Linked DNA regions of Caenorhabditis elegans. The protein of the gene in region 1 interacts with the protein of each later gene in a pairwise test. Each region holds a gene or a part of one and is shown in the gene's direction. Other genes may lie near its edges.

What was found.
Region 2: the proteins of W08G11.3 (region 1) and Y57G11C.1147 interact in a two-hybrid assay, tested with the Caenorhabditis elegans proteins (one large-scale study listed by BioGRID).
Region 3: the proteins of W08G11.3 (region 1) and Y54H5A.2 interact in a two-hybrid assay, tested with the Caenorhabditis elegans proteins (one large-scale study listed by BioGRID).
Region 4: the proteins of W08G11.3 (region 1) and mtss-1 interact in a two-hybrid assay, tested with the Caenorhabditis elegans proteins (one large-scale study listed by BioGRID).

What each region holds. Positions count from the first base shown.
Region 1 is NC_003283.11:16,365,740-16,372,690, forward strand, and holds W08G11.3 (Trichohyalin), read left to right. Parts: upstream 1-1,941; 5' UTR 1,942-1,969; coding exon 1,970-2,035; coding exon of another isoform or gene 2,036-2,038; intron 2,039-2,647; coding exon 2,648-2,739; intron 2,740-2,910; coding exon 2,911-3,084; intron 3,085-3,864; coding exon 3,865-3,961; intron 3,962-4,119; coding exon 4,120-4,203; intron 4,204-4,255; coding exon 4,256-4,383; intron 4,384-4,479; exon of another isoform or gene 4,480-4,616; intron 4,617-4,667; coding exon 4,668-4,757; intron 4,758-4,814; coding exon 4,815-5,031; intron 5,032-5,097; coding exon 5,098-5,485; intron 5,486-5,810; coding exon 5,811-6,013; 3' UTR 6,014-6,373; downstream 6,374-6,951. Other genes in the region: Serine/threonine-protein phosphatase 2A regulatory subunit pptr-1, read left to right, coding at 30-142, 857-860; srv-34 (G-protein coupled receptors family 1 profile domain-containing protein), read right to left, coding at 6,678-6,896, 6,940-6,951.
Region 2 is NC_003282.8:14,795,942-14,799,444, reverse strand, and holds Y57G11C.1147 (Protein BRICK1), read left to right. Parts: upstream 1-1,930; 5' UTR 1,931-1,994; coding exon 1,995-2,060; intron 2,061-2,262; coding exon 2,263-2,311; intron 2,312-2,371; coding exon 2,372-2,481; 3' UTR 2,482-2,483; coding exon of another isoform or gene 2,484-2,756; intron 2,757-2,804; coding exon of another isoform or gene 2,805-2,927; 3' UTR 2,928-3,003; downstream 3,004-3,503. Other genes in the region: Y57G11C.14 (uncharacterized protein), read right to left, coding at 1-100; arl-8 (ADP-ribosylation factor-like protein 8B), read right to left, coding at 614-660, 708-1,095, 1,144-1,266; nuo-3 (NADH dehydrogenase [ubiquinone] 1 alpha subcomplex subunit 6), read left to right, coding at 2,484-2,756, 2,805-2,927; coq-3 (Ubiquinone biosynthesis O-methyltransferase, mitochondrial), read left to right, coding at 3,121-3,216, 3,265-3,495.
Region 3 is NC_003281.10:5,146,547-5,151,148, reverse strand, and holds the start of Y54H5A.2 (Protein HGH1 homolog), read left to right. Parts: upstream 1-1,570; coding exon 1,571-1,629; intron 1,630-1,674; coding exon 1,675-1,933; intron 1,934-2,440; coding exon 2,441-2,555; intron 2,556-4,602.
Region 4 is NC_003281.10:8,766,741-8,769,811, forward strand, and holds mtss-1 (Single-stranded DNA-binding protein, mitochondrial), read left to right. Parts: upstream 1-1,570; 5' UTR 1,571-1,573; coding exon 1,574-1,666; intron 1,667-1,718; coding exon 1,719-1,783; intron 1,784-2,058; coding exon 2,059-2,413; 3' UTR 2,414-2,503; downstream 2,504-3,071. Other genes in the region: Chondroitin sulfate synthase mig-22, read right to left, coding at 1-200, 251-469.

The sequences.
Region 1 (6,951 bases):
ATTTTTTTTAAAAAAAAATTCAATTTCAGGACGGTCCAAATATGACGCCACTGCCAGTTGCAACTGCAGGTGGCGGTGATAAATCTCCATCTGTAGTGAAGAAATCGTCAACAGGATCAGAAACGACGACGCCGGCTAAAAAGTGAGCAATTTTGGAGCATGGAAATGTGGATTTACGTGTATTTCCCGAGGAGAAGAAGCTAAAACTGACGATTTTGGACATTTTTTTTGGCTGAAATGCTCGGTTTGGAGCATTTTCGCAGTTAAAAAATTTTATTTCCAAAAAAAAACGAAAAATAAATTATTTTGTAAAAAAATCCAAAAAAAAACTTCTTTTTTTTAAATTATGGTTTTCTCATTGAAATCAACAAAATTTCAAATTCGCCAGTTTTTTTTCAATAAAAAAAATAAGATTTTTCAGCGAGAAATTTCGAGTTTTTTCTTGGTTTTTCTACACTGAAAAACCTGAAAAATCGAAAAAAAAATCCTAAAATGTGTGATTTTCACCAATTTTTCACCTAAGAACCGAACAATTGCGATTTCAATGCTAAATATTAGAAAAATCTGCGAAAATGGTCCAAAATCCAGTTTTTTAAAGCGAAACACCCACTGAAAATAAACTTCTCCTCGGAGAGTACACAAGACCACCGTAAATCGACACACAATATCTTACATTTAAAAAATTAAAATTCCTGGAATTTTTTTGGTTGGAAAATTTATTTTTAAGTCAAAAAAAAATCGCTTCAAAAATCGAATTTTTGAAAAAAAAATTGACTTTCCGTAAGTTTTAGCCGAAAAAATACTTTTCCCGTCAAAAAAATCGCTTCAAGACCCAAAAAAATCTATATTTTTTCAGATAAAGCTCCTATCAATCATTTCTTATTCTTCTTCTTCAAAAAAAAAAACTCGATATCAATGGTGATATATATGATGATAAGCACCTCTTCTATTTTTCCAAAATGCTCTCCGTCTCTGCGTCTCCTTCTTATACACACTCTCTCGTCTTCTGCTGCTGGATCGAAACCATTTTATTTGAAATAAAATCAATCGATAATTGTACACACACAAATCCCCGAAAACCCGCTAAATCACACACATTACCCACCCCACCCCAACCAAAAAATAAACGCCATCATTAATATTATTTTTCTCTTTTTTTATTATTTTTCCTTTTTTCCCCCAAATTTTATTGAATTTCTTCCATTTTTCGCCCTCTTTTCTGAAAATTCGTGTTTTTGCTCACCATGTCTTCGTGTTTTTCTTTTCCCTCTCCACTTTTCCCTTTCTCTCTCTCTCTCGTCGTCGTTTTCCACATATTTTATTCCAGATTTTTCTCTATTCATAATATTTTTGTTGTATCCCAAATTCTATTATCGAGTTGCGAACAAATGGTGATTTTTGGCGGAAAATTAGGGTCTCGCCGCGAAAAAACAATTTGCTACAGCACCCCTTTAAAGGCGCACGATAGCGTCGAGACCTTTTTTAATCAAAAATCGATATTTTCTCCGCAACTGGGTAATATTACTGAACTATTTCAGATTTTTAAATATACATTTTTTTGTGCCCCGTTTTATTTTTTTTTGTATGTCTGTTGTCTCTAGTAGTATCAAATATCAATACCAAAAATAATGTATGGAATATTTTTTAATATTAGTGTTGTAAAGATCCCCCTCCTCCTCAAAATGTCCCAAAAATTGCGAAGAAACAAAAAAATTCACTCTCTCCCCCTCTTTCTCTCTCTCTCTGTATGAATTTTTTGTATTTATATACACAAACATACACACACACATACACACCATATATCGATTGAATTGAACTTTTTCCCCCAAATTTTGAATTCTTTGTGCGATTTTTAGACGAATTTTTTCAGTGCTCAGAGACTGACATTATTGTATCATTGACACCAAAATAGTTGGAAAAAAATGGAAAAGAAATTTTCAGAAATTTTCAGACAAAACGGGTCATTATCATGGACAGCGGACGACGAAGCCGTAGTGGATCGAGAGATAGAGATAGTAGACGCAGACATAAGAAGGTTGTGGATTTACGCGGGATTCGTGTACTCCACGAGGAAAAGAGGATTTTTTCAGTTTTTTTTTTGGCAGGAATTCTTGATTTTGGATCATTTTCGCTAATTTTCGCTGATTTTTTCTAAGTATTTTTCTGTTAAAATCCTAAATTCAAAAAAAAATTTACGAAAAAAAAACGCAAAAAGTAAGAACGAGCCGCGACGCGACACGCAACGCGCCGTAAATCTACCCCAGATATGGCCGAGCCAGAATGGCCTAGTTCGGCAAACTCGTCCATTTCAATTTATGAGGGAAGCCAGAAATCCGTGAAAAATCAGAATTTTGTGGATTTTGATGAGAAAAGCTGAGAAATTACTAAAAATATTGAAAAATTGTAATTTTTCCCAAAAAACGCCAGAAATCGAAAAAACCAGAAAAAAATCCTCAAAATCTGTTGATTTATTCAAAAAAAATTTTTTTAAAATTCCAGAAATTCTATATTTGCTTTCTAAAAACTCCAAAAAAAAAGCCAAAAAATTTTTTTTTGAAAAAATCGAAAAAATCCTCTTGCAAAAATATCATTTTCCACGAGGAGTACACAAAGTCCCAAAAATTTCCGTAAAAATCAATAATTTCAGCATAGACACAAGCGTCGATCCCGTACACGGAGCCGCAGTAGATCATACGAACGGAATGGAACGGCTGGAATTCATATTAATCCAGCTTTTGGGTTGGTTTTTTTGTTATTATTCAGGTCTCGAAACGATCGATTTTTAATTACAAAAAGGATTACTGTAATTCCATATTTCTCGATTTTTATAGGGGAAAAACCAGGAAAATTTCGCGAAAAATTGCCCGAAAATCGGATTTTTCCAAAAGTTTCAATTTTCAAAAATTTCAGACTCCCGCCTGGAACCGTACAACCACAACCAATGGGCTACTCGGCGTCACAGCTTTTGCAGACGAATAATATGTTGGAAGCCGAAATTCATCGGCTGAAAGCCGCGTTGAACGCCGCGCAAGGCGGTCAACAAATTGAAGCTCAGCGGTGTCAAATGCTCCAACAAGAATTGCGGTGATTACATGAATAGCTTCTTCTGCTCCTTGAAATGGAAGAGTTTTACCGCGGCCACGACCGCGACGCAGCTGCATGCGCGGAGCGGCTCATCAAAAAAATTAGCTAAAATGATAAAAAAAATCACAAGCCGCTCCGCGAGCAGTTGCGTCGCGGTCATGGCCGCGGCCGAGGTTCCCAGCTCTGCCATTTCAAGATACGAGGGACTCTGGAAGGCCATGCTTCTGCTGAAAAATCTTTTTTTTTTCTGTTTTTCGAGAATTTTTTAATGATTACTCAGATAGTGATTTTGCTTGATGAAAATATTACGCAGCCGCAAAATTTTTCGAATTTCGTGTCAAAACTACGGTACCCGGTCTCGACACGACAATTTTTGTTAAATTCTAACGGTGTGCGCCTTTAAAGAGTACTGTAGTTTCAAACTTTCGTTATCAATTTTTCATAGATTTTTCACGATTCGTAAATATTTAGGGGTTTTTTTACAAATAAATTGATTTTTCACAGTTTTTCGATAAAAAGCGATTTTTTTTGTTGAAACAACTCAATTATTTAGAACAATAAAAACACCTAAATATCTACGAATCGTGAAAAATTGATAAAATTCCGCAAAAATGGGAGTTTGAAACTGCAGTACTTTTTAAAGGCGCACACCTTTTCGAACTTAACAAAAATTGTCGTTTCGAGACCGCGAATGTCGCATTTTTTGCTGATGTGTAATATTTTAGGAGAATTATAGCAAATATCAAGAAAATTTGAAAAATATATCGATTTTTTGCTCAGAAATGCTCAAATCCAACGAGATCAAGCCAACAAACGATGTAACGAGATAATGTCCGAGAGGAGAATGATGAATGATTCGAAAGTTGAAATGGCAAATGTAAGAGCTGAAAATTCTCTCAAAAACTGGCAAAAAATGGTTGAAAAGCAAGAATTTTAGCCAAAAAATGTGAAATTTTTCGAAAAATGAATTCTTACTTCTCCTCGGGGAGTACACGACCTGCGTAAATGGACAATAAATGTTTATAATACTTTCAGCGAATTAATGGACTAGAAGTGGCGAATCGGATGCTCCGAGATGATGTTACCCAGGCGAGAAATGCGACGGAAGCTAAAGAGGAGGTTTTTATATATAATTTAACGGAAAATTTGAAAACCAAAAAAAAAATTCCAGGAAATCCGAGCAATAACGTATCAATCAGAAATTGTTCGCCAACAAATCAACGCTCTGAACGAACGAAATGCGGCGCTCAAGACGAAATGCGAGACGGTAGTGGCGCAAAATCGTCAGCAGCATGAAGAGTAAGTAGACAGCACGGAGGCTGTTACACTGGTGGCGCAGGCGGTAACGCGCTTGACTGCCAGACGGCTGGGGTTCGGCTCGACCCCCGCTGCCGCATGCACCTTGCACTCTACGCCTTTCCTTTCAATGGGTTGGTATGATTTAATAAGGATGCAAGAGAATAGTACGGGAAGTTCGAAGACTTGCGGATTTGCTTCCACGGCTCCGCGAGTTCATAACTGTCACCACAATTAAAAAAAATTTTTTTTTTCTAATGGAACGCATTTTTAAGACGAGATTTCAGAATGGAAGCCCGTCAAAAGTTCGTGCAAGGTGCTCAGTTAAATGTGAAGAAGGCGGAGGCGGATTTGCAATTGGCCAATGCAGAAATTCAGTGAGTTTTGAGTTTTAAAAAAAGTTTAAGTTTCAGAAAACCGTAAACTAATTTCAGACGTCTGCTCCGAGAACTTGACAGCTCTCAGCAGCTCGAGAATTCGAGCATCACTGACAAAAGAAATATCGAAGAAGAGCTCATCCGGAAAGAAGATGAGATCAGATTGGCAAACTACAAATCAGCAACCTTATTAAAAGCGGCAAATGATAAAATCGAAAAACTCGAGTTACGATTGAAACAAGAAAAACCGGCGGTGCACAATGAGATGACTGTGGTAGGTTTAGCAGGAAATTGACAAAAAACCGGAAAAAATGGGAAAAATTCTAATCACTTTCACAAGTTCCAGGAAACAATATACATTGCCATAGAGACTATCAAAACGACGTACGAGAAGCAGCTGTCCAGAATGGAAGAAGAAATTGAGCATTTGAAAGCTGAAAAGTTGAAGCAGGAGCAGCAACAAATAATGATGGAGGAAGAGGAGGATGCAGTGGTTCAGAATCTCGAGGAACTTCCAGCCTATCTGAAGACTCCAATGAGGCCGGATCCAACGAAGATGGAAGGTCTTAAAAAGACTATTCAAGTGAAGATCAGGCTTGATGAAGAGCCCGAACGCCCGGCTCGGCCGGCTAGTGGACCGCCCGTAGATTCACCTGTGACGTGGCATCAGAGAAAGCCGTTCGAACGGCTCCCAGCGATGGTTGTGCCGCTTTTTGGGACAACTGAAGGTGAGATATTAATCAGGCGCAAAAAATACTGTACTCGGTCTCGAAACAACAAATTTTTATTCAGTGAGAAAAGGCGCAAAAAATTGTCGTGTCGAGACCGTACGTACCGAACTTTTGGTGCAAAATTTTACGTCTGTGTGTGTCAGGCTGTCCCATCACGGTTTGATCTACACAAAAATGCGCGATTTGTTTGCCTAAAAAGTGTGACGTCAGCACGTTCTCAACCATGCGAAATTAATTGAGAAGTCTGCGGCATTTTTTGTAGATCTACGTAGATCAAGCCGAAATGAGACACTCTGACACCACGTGAAACTGACATTTTCAGCACCATCAACAGGACCCGGACCATCCATTTCATCCGAAGATCTCATCACTTCCTCGACAATCGAATCAACGTCCGATGAAATTAGCATTGCCGCCTGCAATCAGTTCTCTGAGGAGGATCTGCTGCTCGCCGAGCCAACTGATATGATATCACCGAGTCAACTATTGGATCTCGATGAGCAGACTCTGCTTGGTGGAGAATAATTTATATTTGTATTACGGGGCTTTAAAATTGCTTCAAAATTCCCAAAATAGTCTGAAAATATTTTTTTTGTTTGGAAAAAAAATCCGAATTCATTTTTCCGAATTTTTTTCCCGAATTATGCTGAACAGCTCCCGCCGCAGATTAGCAAAATTATCAACACTTCCCTTTTTAACAATTTTTGATGATTTTCATACTATTTTCGGGAGTTTTTTAAAAGCAAAATCCCGTCCCCCGCACCCAATTTTTAAAATATTCATTCCCTCGTTCCCCCGATCTGAATTTGTTTTACGGTTCTCCGTGCGTGTGTATGTGTCAATTTTAATAGTAATTTTGAATCAATAAAGTTTTATTATAATAAAAATTCCCTCAACATCGATCTCTAGTACTTGACTGCACAATTTTGGGCGCCATTGACACGGTGCTTTGGGATTTCTGAAATACACAGTTTTTTGGGTGAGCTTTATTCGTACACTGCCCGGTGTCAATTTACGCGGCTCGTGTACTCCTCGAGGAGAAGTGGGAATTTTTTTTGGGCGTAAATCTTTGATTTTGCACTAATTTCGTCAATTTTTGCAGTTAACGTCGAATACAAAAAATTTGGCGAAACTGCGCAAAATGAATATTTTCGGCGAAAAAAGTACTGCAAAATCCTCTACAAAAAATTCACACTTTTCCACTACGAGTACACAAGCTTCGTAAATCGACACGTGGCCGTGGAAGAGGTTTTTCTCTGCCATTCTCTGCCATGAGACCTACCTTAAACCGGCAACAAAACGCGCTCTGAACATCCCGATTCATCATTAATAGCATTATTGGATTAATAAACGATAGATTGCCAGATAGTGTTGGATAAAAAAGACGTAACGCCCGTACTCGGTCATTCTGAATAGGTTACTGTAGGCACGGTACGGTAGAACACACTTACATCGGCGTCGGT
Region 2 (3,503 bases), on another chromosome or scaffold:
TCATTCGATTGACGTGTTTGCCACGTTGCAACAGTTCCCGAATCGCTTTATCCAAATTGTCCATCGTTTTGACTGTACAATCACAATTCACACATTCCATCGCTTGCTTCGAATTTTGAAACTGAAGGAATAATTGATTTCCTTTTTTTTCATTCAACTTTAGAATTTTAAAAATTAGGCTGCAATGCTAGAGCAACACGTTAACTAAATGCCTTAGTAAATTTTCAATTTATGAAAAAGAGTGAAGAAGAGTTAAGGAATTAAGCACATTTGTAAAAAATAATGAGAATGGTTGCAGTGGTGTTGCAAAATGTCCAAAAAAGTGATACACAACATGTACATAAAATTGGAGGGAAATTTCACAACTTTTGAATGGGGATGATGAACATCCCACAGTGAAAGCTACCAAAGAAATAAAACTGGGAGCGAATGGGTTGGGGAAATTGACTACAATTGTGATGAAAAAGACGAGAGAGATTAGTTGAATATGGAGGGGAGGGGATTCAAATAAATAATATCTACAGAATTTTCAAAAAAAAAAGGTTTGATTTAATATATTTTGCGGTGTGAATTGTAAATTTTCGAGTAGATTGAGTCGTGGATTGTGCCTAGTTTAGCGTTGAGCTTTCGAGTGATCGATGAGCCATTGGAGGGTGATATCTGGAAAACAATTCAGTTTAGAATGGTTCAAAGATTTAAAAAATTACCAATATTCTCCTTCTCTTTGCATGAAATAGAATAGCAGCAAATCTCGCGATTCTGGATTGATGACAGATTCATTCTTTCGATCAATTGCCGCTCATCAAGTGCTCCAGGCAAATCCTTCTTGTTTCCGAGCACCAAAACTGGAATAGCGTCGAGCTGTGGCTTGTCCAACAGCTGCATAAGCTCATTTCTGGATGCTTCGAGCTTCTCCTCGTCGGCAGCGTCCACCATGAAGACGATGGCGTTGACACCGCGGCAATATCGTTCCCACATCGAGCGGAACCGTGGCTGGCCCCCGATATCCCATAATTTGATCGTCACGTTGCCTTTGGTGATCTTCCGCATATTGAATCCGACTGTTGGGATCATATCTTCTGTGAATTGGCCGCTCTAAAGTGAAGAACATTGAATTTAAATTTATTTTCCAGAAAAACTAACAGCAATAACATTGACAAATGTCGTTTTTCCAGAGTTTTGGAGCCCAACAAGTGTCAACTCCATCTCCTCTTTCCAAAAAAGACTGCGAATCCAGTCGAGAACCTTATTCACCATAGCCAACATCTTGAATATTGATGTTGAATGAGGAAATTCCTGAAAAGTGCAATTCGATTGAAAAGGGTGTGTGTGTGAGAGAGCACAAAGAAAAACAGAAGGGTTTAACGGAAAACCGCTATTAATTTTGGAGCAAGCTCGCTTTTGCTGTTGAAAAAAAAACAAGTAGAAATATTGATTTTCCTTATCGCAAAATTTATTTTGCAGTAACTTTCACGAAATCAAAACCAATGAATCATCGAGAATAGTCAACAAAACACGTGATGTCTATAAAATTTTGAGAGAAACGTTTCAAAACAATAGAATTGCTAAAAGCAGATAGTTTCATTGGATAATATCGGATTGCAATAAGAGTTTTCAGTGAATATAGTCTTAATTTTTACAAATTTCTCAAGCGGACACAGTTTTTTGCTCAGTTTGCTCGATTTTCTAAAATCTGAATTTACGTTTGTCTAACCCATTCTCAATGAATGTATGGAATTTTTGAAAAAACTAATGAATAATCAGTCTATTTCCTTGAAAATTCTCAAAAAATCGATAGAAAATCCCGAAAATCCGTCGAAAATTACGAAATCCAAAGCCAAATCAGTGCGACAAGGAGCCAATCGAACGACCGCTGACATCAAAGGCGCACGCAGTTTCGAGGACGGGTTTCGCCGCGATCGAGTGTGTCGATTTACGCAGCACGCGGCACACCGGCGACCATCCTTCACCGTTTTTCAGCTTTTCAGCGTTGAATGCACGCTTCGGAAGCCGTTCAACAACAACTAAAGGACGACTGGGATAATCGCGAGTTTGAGCAGGTTAGTAGACGGAAAAAAATGATGGAAATCGATTGAAATGTGAATGAAAATTGATTAAAAATGGTTGTTGAAATTTTTGAATATTTTTAACTGCGGTGTTGAAATAGCTTTTCACTTCAGTAGGTTGTGATTTTATACAATTTTACAACAAATATTCATGTGTGAATTCATATCTCCCACACTAACCCGTACTAACTTTCAGATTATTGCCGATAACATCAAGAACATCGCTAACTTCTTGTCCAGCTTTGGTTTGTAGAAAAATTATTATTTTAAATTAATTCCTTTAAAAAATATCTGATTTCTTCCAGAGCTCTCTTGCCGCACAAAACTAGCGACTCTCAGCGACAAGCTTAACCTTTTGGAACGAAAGGTCGAATTTCTTGAAGCCCGTGTCACCAAAGGAGATACTCTTTCGTAATAATGTCTGCAACTGCCGGAAGAGTCGTCCGTGCCGGACAACACGCCGTTCGCACCGTCGCTCCAATCAAATCCAACAATTCCGCCGAGGCACGCATGTCGGTTCTCGCCGCTTATAAGGAGTTCCAACGTCTCACTCCAAAGTTCTGGTGGGATTTCGGACTTCATGATATGCCGCTCGGCGTGTTCCGTGCTGTCATCAAGAAGCAATTCACAAAGAACGGACATCTCACCGATGTTCGTGTCGTTGACAGACTTGTCGGAGAAACTCATCAGGTTTTTGAATAAAATTTAAATTTTCTAAACTCTAATTGTCACTTTCAGCACATGAAATCGATCCGTTACGCATTCTACAACCCGGATCACGTGCGCAACTACCTGTTCGCTGAAAATGTCGAAGCCAAGCCAAAGGACTTCCTCTCCAAATTCCTCAACGGAAAGGAATAGATTTTTTATTTTTCAGTGTTTTATGTGTAATTGTAAAGTAAATTCTCGTATTTTAAATCGAATCGGCTGATACTAGAAGGAATAAAATCTGATTTTTTGACTTAAAAATTGATTTGGCAGGTTCTACGACCTAATTTTATTTCTTTTTCGATTTTTTTTGTTTATTTTGATTGAATTTTATTTTTCCTGGTAGATGATCCCTTCACGAAGTGCCAGAATCATCGCAAAGCTACAACGACTACACTCGACTACTTCAGCCGCTTCAGTATCTTCTATTGATGTAAAAGAGGTAAAACATATAAAAATAAGCTATTTATCTGTAGAAAAATTATTTTAGGTCGAAAAATTCGGAGACTTGTCTGCAGAATGGGCTGATGAACTGGGTCCCTTCCACGCACTTCACTCATTAAACAGGATTCGAGTTCCTTGGATTGTCGATAATGTTAGAAAAAGCGATCAGAAGGCTCCTCCTCGATTAGTGGACGTTGGAAGCGGAGGGGGTCTTTTGTCGATTCCACTGGCCAGAAGTGGATTCGATGTTACAGGAATTGATGCGACGAAGCAAGCTGTAAGGGA
Region 3 (4,602 bases), on another chromosome or scaffold:
CGATTGACGGTTGCGCAATTCAACGCATCTTCTGAAGATGAAGATGTTGTTTGGTGACGGCAACAGGTCAATCTGTGCATCCGGATCAGAAGATTTGAAAAAAAGCGGCTTTTTGTACTGAAAGTGTGCTGTCAGTCTGTTGTTTACGATAAATGAGCGAGAACTCTGAATTTACTTGGAATTGGAATTCTAGACTCGTATTCGGATACAATTGTCAAAAAGTCAGATCCTATTCGATAATTCTACACGACCAATTAAAAAGCAATTTAAAATCATAATCTGTGCGATTAACTCATATTTTTCATTCAAACTGAAAATGGTTCCGCTTCGCAACCAAATGCTTCTTTTGATGTTATTACATGAACACATGTTTGATGATATCATGTTGTTTTCTGTTGTGCAATAACAGTCATATCCTTCAAGAGCATGTTGAAAATCATTCGATGCGAAGAATCTCTAGATCTAGATAATAATCCCCTTTAGCTTTTACTAATAAGTAATCCTTTTCCCTATTCTCTTCCGTCAAATTTATAAGCAATTCCTCACCATTTTGTTCACACCTGATACCTCGTTTATTATCAAGTGTAATGCGGTATAAAACACCCATGGTATGGATTGTGTCAGGAAAATGGAAACATCTAATATTTTATGACACGAAGAGGTCTTGGATTAGGAACAGCCGTGTGGACGAAGTGTGGCATGGGGTTTGAAATGTATGGGTTTTCACTGTGAAGCTCCCCTATTGTTTAAACTTATCAAATTTAGATAATTAATATAAAATGAAACTTGATATTTATTCCATCAAGTTTTCAGTTTTATTTGATCAACATTGAAATTTGGGGAGATAAACATCCAAATAGCATTAATCGGTCTTAGCAACCAGATATTCAACTCTGATTATGCAACTTTGTCCACATTATCCGGTGGTCCATTGCTTGTAGATGACGTAACTCTGGACCGTTTGTTTTCCAAAGTAGTGTTGCATCAACAATCACCATGCATATCCCATTGGATTACGGTAGTCAGGAACCCTTTTCTAGTTTTTTTCAATCTGGAGTGTCCGTTCTTTTGTGCACATCAAGTGTGAGATGTACACGAGCCGCAACGTCCGAAAAGCACACTTCAACCTGACTTTTTGTCCCCAATTTCTCACTCTCAACCGCAAAAGACTTACAGTAACCCGCCACCTTACACATTCGCGCACTTTTGAAGTGGCCGACTGTGAGGATTGGCGCTGAAGCTGCAAGATTCGAGATGTTTGTCGGTGAGAAGGACGCGTACCCGGGTGGGCGAATGAGGTATACTGTAAAATAGAATTGAAGTGATTGTTAACTAGACTATGGGTGTGACAAGTTGATTTTGACGTCAAAATTTGTTGCAGTCTAGCAGGGAATTTGAAGTTTAGAGAATTGAGTTCATACTAGAGATAGAAAACTCAAGGGGTTCTAGAAATAAATCAGGCGTTGTGTGAAAAATGTATTTAAAAAGTGATAATCGGAAGAAATATAACATAAATTTAAAAACGAATTGAAATGAAATCCTGAATTTAAAAATAATTATTTATTTCTAGATGACTGACCTGGAAGTAAGCGTCGATGATTTGGTGAAGCTCCTCTCACCGACTATGTCGTAAGAACTGAGGTTATTATTCTTAATTGAAAATTCCAATTCCAGATTAATTGTTCGTCGTAAAACAATGGAAGTTGTCACTCAACTGGGTACACCGCTCGATGGATCTGCTGGAAAATACTTCCAAGCTCAAGATTTTGCTCTGGGAAAAGCGATTTGTCAGTTATGTGAAGCAACTTCTTCGGATCGAACTGAAACTCTGGCAGCTCTCACAAACTTCACTTCTGGTTCCATTGAAGCCGCTGATTTTGTATTGGATAAATCAAAATGTGTGGAAATTGCTTATACTGCAGTTGTTACTAATGTAAGGGAATTTTAAAGTAATATTCAACGCTTTCATAATATTACATAGACGCGTAATTTTGCGTTTTTTGCGCCAAAAATACGGTACCCGGTCTCGCCACGACTTTTCAAAATGCAGAATATGTGCGCCTCAAAAAACTGTAATTTCAAACTTTCGTTTGCTGCGAAAATTTATTCACAAACTTGTTAATATCAGTGTTTAAATATTTTTTTTTTTAAAACAAATTTTTATTCAAAAACGAAGAAAATTCCGCAGAAACGAGATTTTGAAGTAGTGTTTAAAGGTGCGCATCCGTTTGAATTTAAGAAAAAAAATGTCGCTTCGAGACCGGGTACCGTATTTTCTGCGCAAAAATTGTGAAATTTCGTTTCTGGTTAATATAAATACAATAAGAATATAGAGAAAGACTAATATTTTGGATAAAAAGAACGAGTGGTAACCTTATACCATAAGTAGTAGTTGTGTCAAGTACTCGTAATCCCCCGACTTTAAGTGTTTTTCTTTCAGGCCTTGTATTCGTCAGTTGCCTCTCGTCTGCTTGTCAATGTTTCCCGCCATTTCCCAGATCGTGTTGATCATAAGTTGAAAGCACGAAATGCGAATTATATTGGACAACTGCTCAGTGAGTTTCTTTTGGTGAATTCAAAATATACTTCAAAAATTGAATTAAAAATGTTTTTTGAGTTTCAAAAATTCTTTCTCAAAATTTTTAATTACCTACTCTTGAAAAAGTGACTTTTAGAACACCATTTGGTCCTGATGCGAGTGAAATATTCCAGCTACCGTAGCCGAGAGTATGGTAGATAATTTTACACTAATTAATGAAAAATATTGAAAATATTCTAAAAAGTTTTTTAATTTTCCAGACGTGAGATTATGTGATTTTTGTACCAAAAAAACGATGACTGGTCTCAACACGACAAGTTAAAGAGTACTGTAGTTGCCGCGGAATATTCATAGATTTTTAAAACAATAATTTGAAATTAATTACAGTACCCCGTAAAACCGCACATCATTTTTCATTTAGCGAAAACTTGTCGTGTAGAGACCATATACCGTATTTTTAACTTTCAAATCACACAAATAGCTCGAGGTTACTATAGTCGAATAGTTTCTTTCGTGCCAGGACCCAAAAACTGAAAACTTTTTCACATTCCTCTTCATAGATCTCATAGGAAAATAAATTCAACGAGAATCTAATCGAGAAACTACGGTTCGTGTGGTAAAAACAAATCCTCATTCAATTCTCGAAACTACAGTAACCACATAATCTAAATGTTGTTTTTTTTCGGTAGTATTGTCCTTGAGTTACATATTACCCAATATCCTCTACACACGCTTATTAGCTTGTGTTTCATGTCATCCATCTTTTGATTGATTCTTCTTTTTCCTAAATAACCTTGCTCGTCCCTCTTCTTGTCCTTCCTCTTTCTTTCAATGTTCGGTGACAGCTCACTTTTTCAAATAATTGACGGAGGTGATCAAATGTGGCGAATTGTACACCTTCTGCATCGACTTATTTCAGCCTTATAAAATTGATGAAAAAAGACACGTTGATAATAGTATTACAGTGGGGTGGTTGAAAGGAAGATGCCGACAAAACTAAGGGGATTACCAGCGCCTAGTTTATCGTATTAGTGTGTTTGGTCCTATTTGTTGGTTATCAGTTAGCAGAGGCAGCGAGCACGTAATGAAATACACAAATATGCTAGATTCTATTGTGTTATGAAGTTAAAAAGGAGTACGGTAGGTATGAAGATTATTGACTGAAACGGTAAATTCAATCATAGTCTGTAACTTGAAAATACTAGAAATTAAATGCAAAAACGAAATTAAAATTCAAAAGATGGTACCGCGATTTCGCTGAACTGAATAATCGTTTTCGTTAAACTTTTTTAAAATTTGAAATAGTATTTTAACTTGATTTCTTCTTTTTCATAGTGTTAGTGTGCCCTTTTGAACAAAATTTCGTAACTATGAAAGGGGATTTTTCGTTTTCAGTGTACAGTATTCCGTGCTAAGATTCTAATCTGCCCAAATCATTCGGCGCAGCTATCATCAAACTTTCTGTCCTATAGCATTCCATGAAATGTTACCTGCTTCTGTATTCTCGCCAATTAGTGTCGCTTCATCAAGCGTCAAACACAACACATTGGTCAACACACACATATCACCTCCGTTATCAGTCCTCACACCGTACGTCGTTAAATTTTAATGGCTCCAAGTACAAACAGCCCCAGTCAGTCCCCCCACACTGACACCTTTCACTTCATAAATCTCAAGCTGATAATGATTATGTAACTGGCGCGAGGTCAATCTACTTGAGTTATGTAACAGAACAGCATGGAGCCAACACAAACTTTGCTCTTTCCGTTAGTCTTCACGCCCATCCTACAGTAATCCAGTGTTGACACTTTCTTGGGTTTTTCGACGGCGGCAATTGTCTTTTGATTAACACGGAATTGGAATACCAATCATTCTGTGAAGGCGATAAGTCGTCACACTCTTTTCGCTGCTGTATCAGAAGTTTGTACGCGTGACAAATTCGCGACATTTTCTCGGGGAAATGTGTTTGAATATTGGAATAAATACGGTGTTTGATATATTAATAGGTTCTACGATACGAGGAAATGATAGTTGGTGTTGGGAGAAAAGAGGAATATGATATA
Region 4 (3,071 bases), on another chromosome or scaffold:
GAAGAGTCAGCAAACAAATGTACACGTGGAACATGGCGCCCAAGAGTTGCATTAATAGAAAGAGCCAATGCAGACTCAGCCATCACTGCGGCCATAACTCGTTCACGTGTACCGAGTTCAGTGGCTGCAAATCGAGTTCTTGTAACCTTTGGAGTAGCGTCTTGATTATGAGGAGGCGCTGGCATATCGTCTTGGTGAACCTAAATTTGATTCTTTCATGAAATTTTGTGTTTTTTTTAAAGCTACTCACAATCCAATGCTCAGATAAATCTTTATATACTCGCCCTTTCTCCAGTGCCGATGGTTCAAGAACATTCGTTTCTGTTTCTTGATTCTGACATGATGTAAATGCAGCCAATGAGCTGGTCAAGTCTATACTTGGTGTGGATGAAAAGAAGAAGAGCGCGAGAGCGGCACCTATAAGGAATCCAAGAAGCAAGTGTATGCCTGTTCGACCGCCGCCGACCATTCTTCGATTCTAAAAAAGGAATAGAGAATTATTAAACTTTTTTTCAAAGCCGGTGAAAAACGTACCAAACAGTCAGCAATACGCCTTGATACAATTCCAATAACGAAGTTTTCTTGTGAAGAAGCTCTGAAAATTTACAATAAGAAAGTGAAGTGAACAAGAGCAAATAGTGATGTTTGAGCATGAATGAGCAGAACACAGGTTAACTGATCAAAGAAAAGCGTGAAAAGACAATACGGGTTTATGAATGAATGCAAAACAGTCGTCATAGAAGATGTGTGTGACAATGCTCGTAAAATGATTGCAGGACATGTGAGTGGAGCGACAACCTTCTTCGGTATGCGATGCAGACGGAAGACAAAAAAAACGAGAAGAGGCTGTGATCGACGCCGACGTTGTAAGAAGGTGTTTGAAGAGATAGTCTTGAGTTGAAAGAGACGCAGACATTATGTTCTGTACTTGACCTGACTAACTAAGGTCATTTTAGAAAATTTAATGTTCGAGGACAGTGAAACCGTTAATAACATGCTATTTTGAGAATGTTTTTCTAATTTCTTAATTTTCAAGATTTTATCTCAATTTTAATTGAATTAGGAAATTAAGTTCGAAATATGACAGATAATTCGTGGGAATAATTAAAATAACATATACATTGGAATTATGAATATCTTTTTAGTAGTTTTAGAATGAACATCTAATAACAATCAAATATAGGAAAATCCGAAATAAGATTTTGAATTTAACGGAATTTTGATAAATTTTATTGGTTTGAATCAATAAAATTGTAGAAATAAAGTGGTTTTTTGCAGTGAAACTTAAAAAATAAAAATAAACCGATGACAAGAGAAAAGCGAGAGAAACACTGAGTAAACTGTGCGGCGTGTTTGCGGAAATCGCGTGCCAGGCTTGCAACAGTGCGCGATTCAACTCCGCCCACAAAAAATGCAATTTTATTTTTGCTTTTCCATATTTAACAGTTGTTTTGAGCCCGTTTTTATTTGTAAAATGTATATACTATGTTTAAATCTTTTCGTTGAACATTTAATATTGAATTTTTAAAAATAACTCATATTTTGCTCAATCGATAAACCAAAATTATAGAAAATGCTTCGTTCACTTTCCACGATCTCCAAGTCTACCGTCCGCTGTATGTCATTGACATCCAAAATGGCTGCTGAGCAACCGAGCAAGCAAGAGGTAAGTTGAAAAACAGCGAATTGTGCAATTATGAAATTTTTGTCTGTTTCAGGTTGATGACTTGTTCGCTGAAAAACCACAACATCATAACCCAGAACAAAGACGGCATGCATACAGGTATGATATGAGTTTTACACAAATGTTAAACTTGCATTTTTCTGAACTAGGAGATTAATAATTTGTATCAAAGTTCCTGCTAGAAAAAATAAAATGTCACAATTTTCAAAAGCACAAACGCAACGATTGACAATAAAAATTACTTATTAAAAAGTCGTTCGAATATTGTTGTAAAATAGCTGTGAAAGATACAATTTCAATTTTGAAAGCATAAAAAAACAAATTTTGAATTCAGATCATATCGATTCAAAATTTATTTATTATCACTATTTCAGTGTGAATAAAGTGGAACTAGTCGGAGGAGTCGCCTTGGATCCATTGTACAAGACTGGAAGGAACGGAAAACCTTACCTCATCTTCAATATCATCACCAACTCGTACTTCAAGCAGCAAGACGGAACTACTCTCGATCAAACTGAACGTCACGCCGTTTCAGTTTTCGGAAAGCAAGCCGAAATCCTTTCAAAAACCATCAAGAAAGGATCCCGTCTTATGGTTCAGGGGAGACTTCATTATTCTGGAGGACAGAAGGACGAACAAGGAAACCGTACACAACGCAACACCTACATCATCGCTCAAACTGTTCAACCATTGGCTCGAGCAGCTAGAGAGAATCCAGATCAACATTAATTTTCAAAATTTTTTAAATATTTAGAATCTCCGATAATAGACCATTGTTGTTGTTTTTGTTGACGAGTTATTTACCTGATTAAACATTATCTCATATTTAAAAAAAAAAGTTTTATTTGATTGCATACCTGGTTTTCTAACCATATTTATTATCTGATCGTTCTTTGAAAGTTCAGCTAAATCAACTTTTGATAAGAATCGGAATTCACTACACTGTCAAAATATTGATTTTTCGTTTTTTCCTCATCATTCCGTCTCTCGCCAGTTGTTCCTCCGAAACAACACAATATCCCTCCCTTTTTCTTGTTTTCTCTCGGGCACTTTGAGCCAATGTTTTAAATTGTTGAAGCAGTTTCACACGATTTAATCGATTTTTTTGTAGAATTGGGAAACCATGAACCGATCTGGACAGCGCTTGATTGTCTCTGCACCTCGGCAGATCGCCTTTTCCACTGCTGTCAGGTATGTGATTGTTTTTTGGTTATGCATTACGTGCAAATAATTATATTTGAAATCATGTTATTTTTTAAAATTTCTATATTCTTCCGAATTGTTTTTTTCCTCCACTATTTTTCTATTGAGATGTTGTTTATCATGTATTCCAAATTCCTAAAAATTGTAAGATACTTTCTAAATAAATTTCCAAACCAAAAACTAG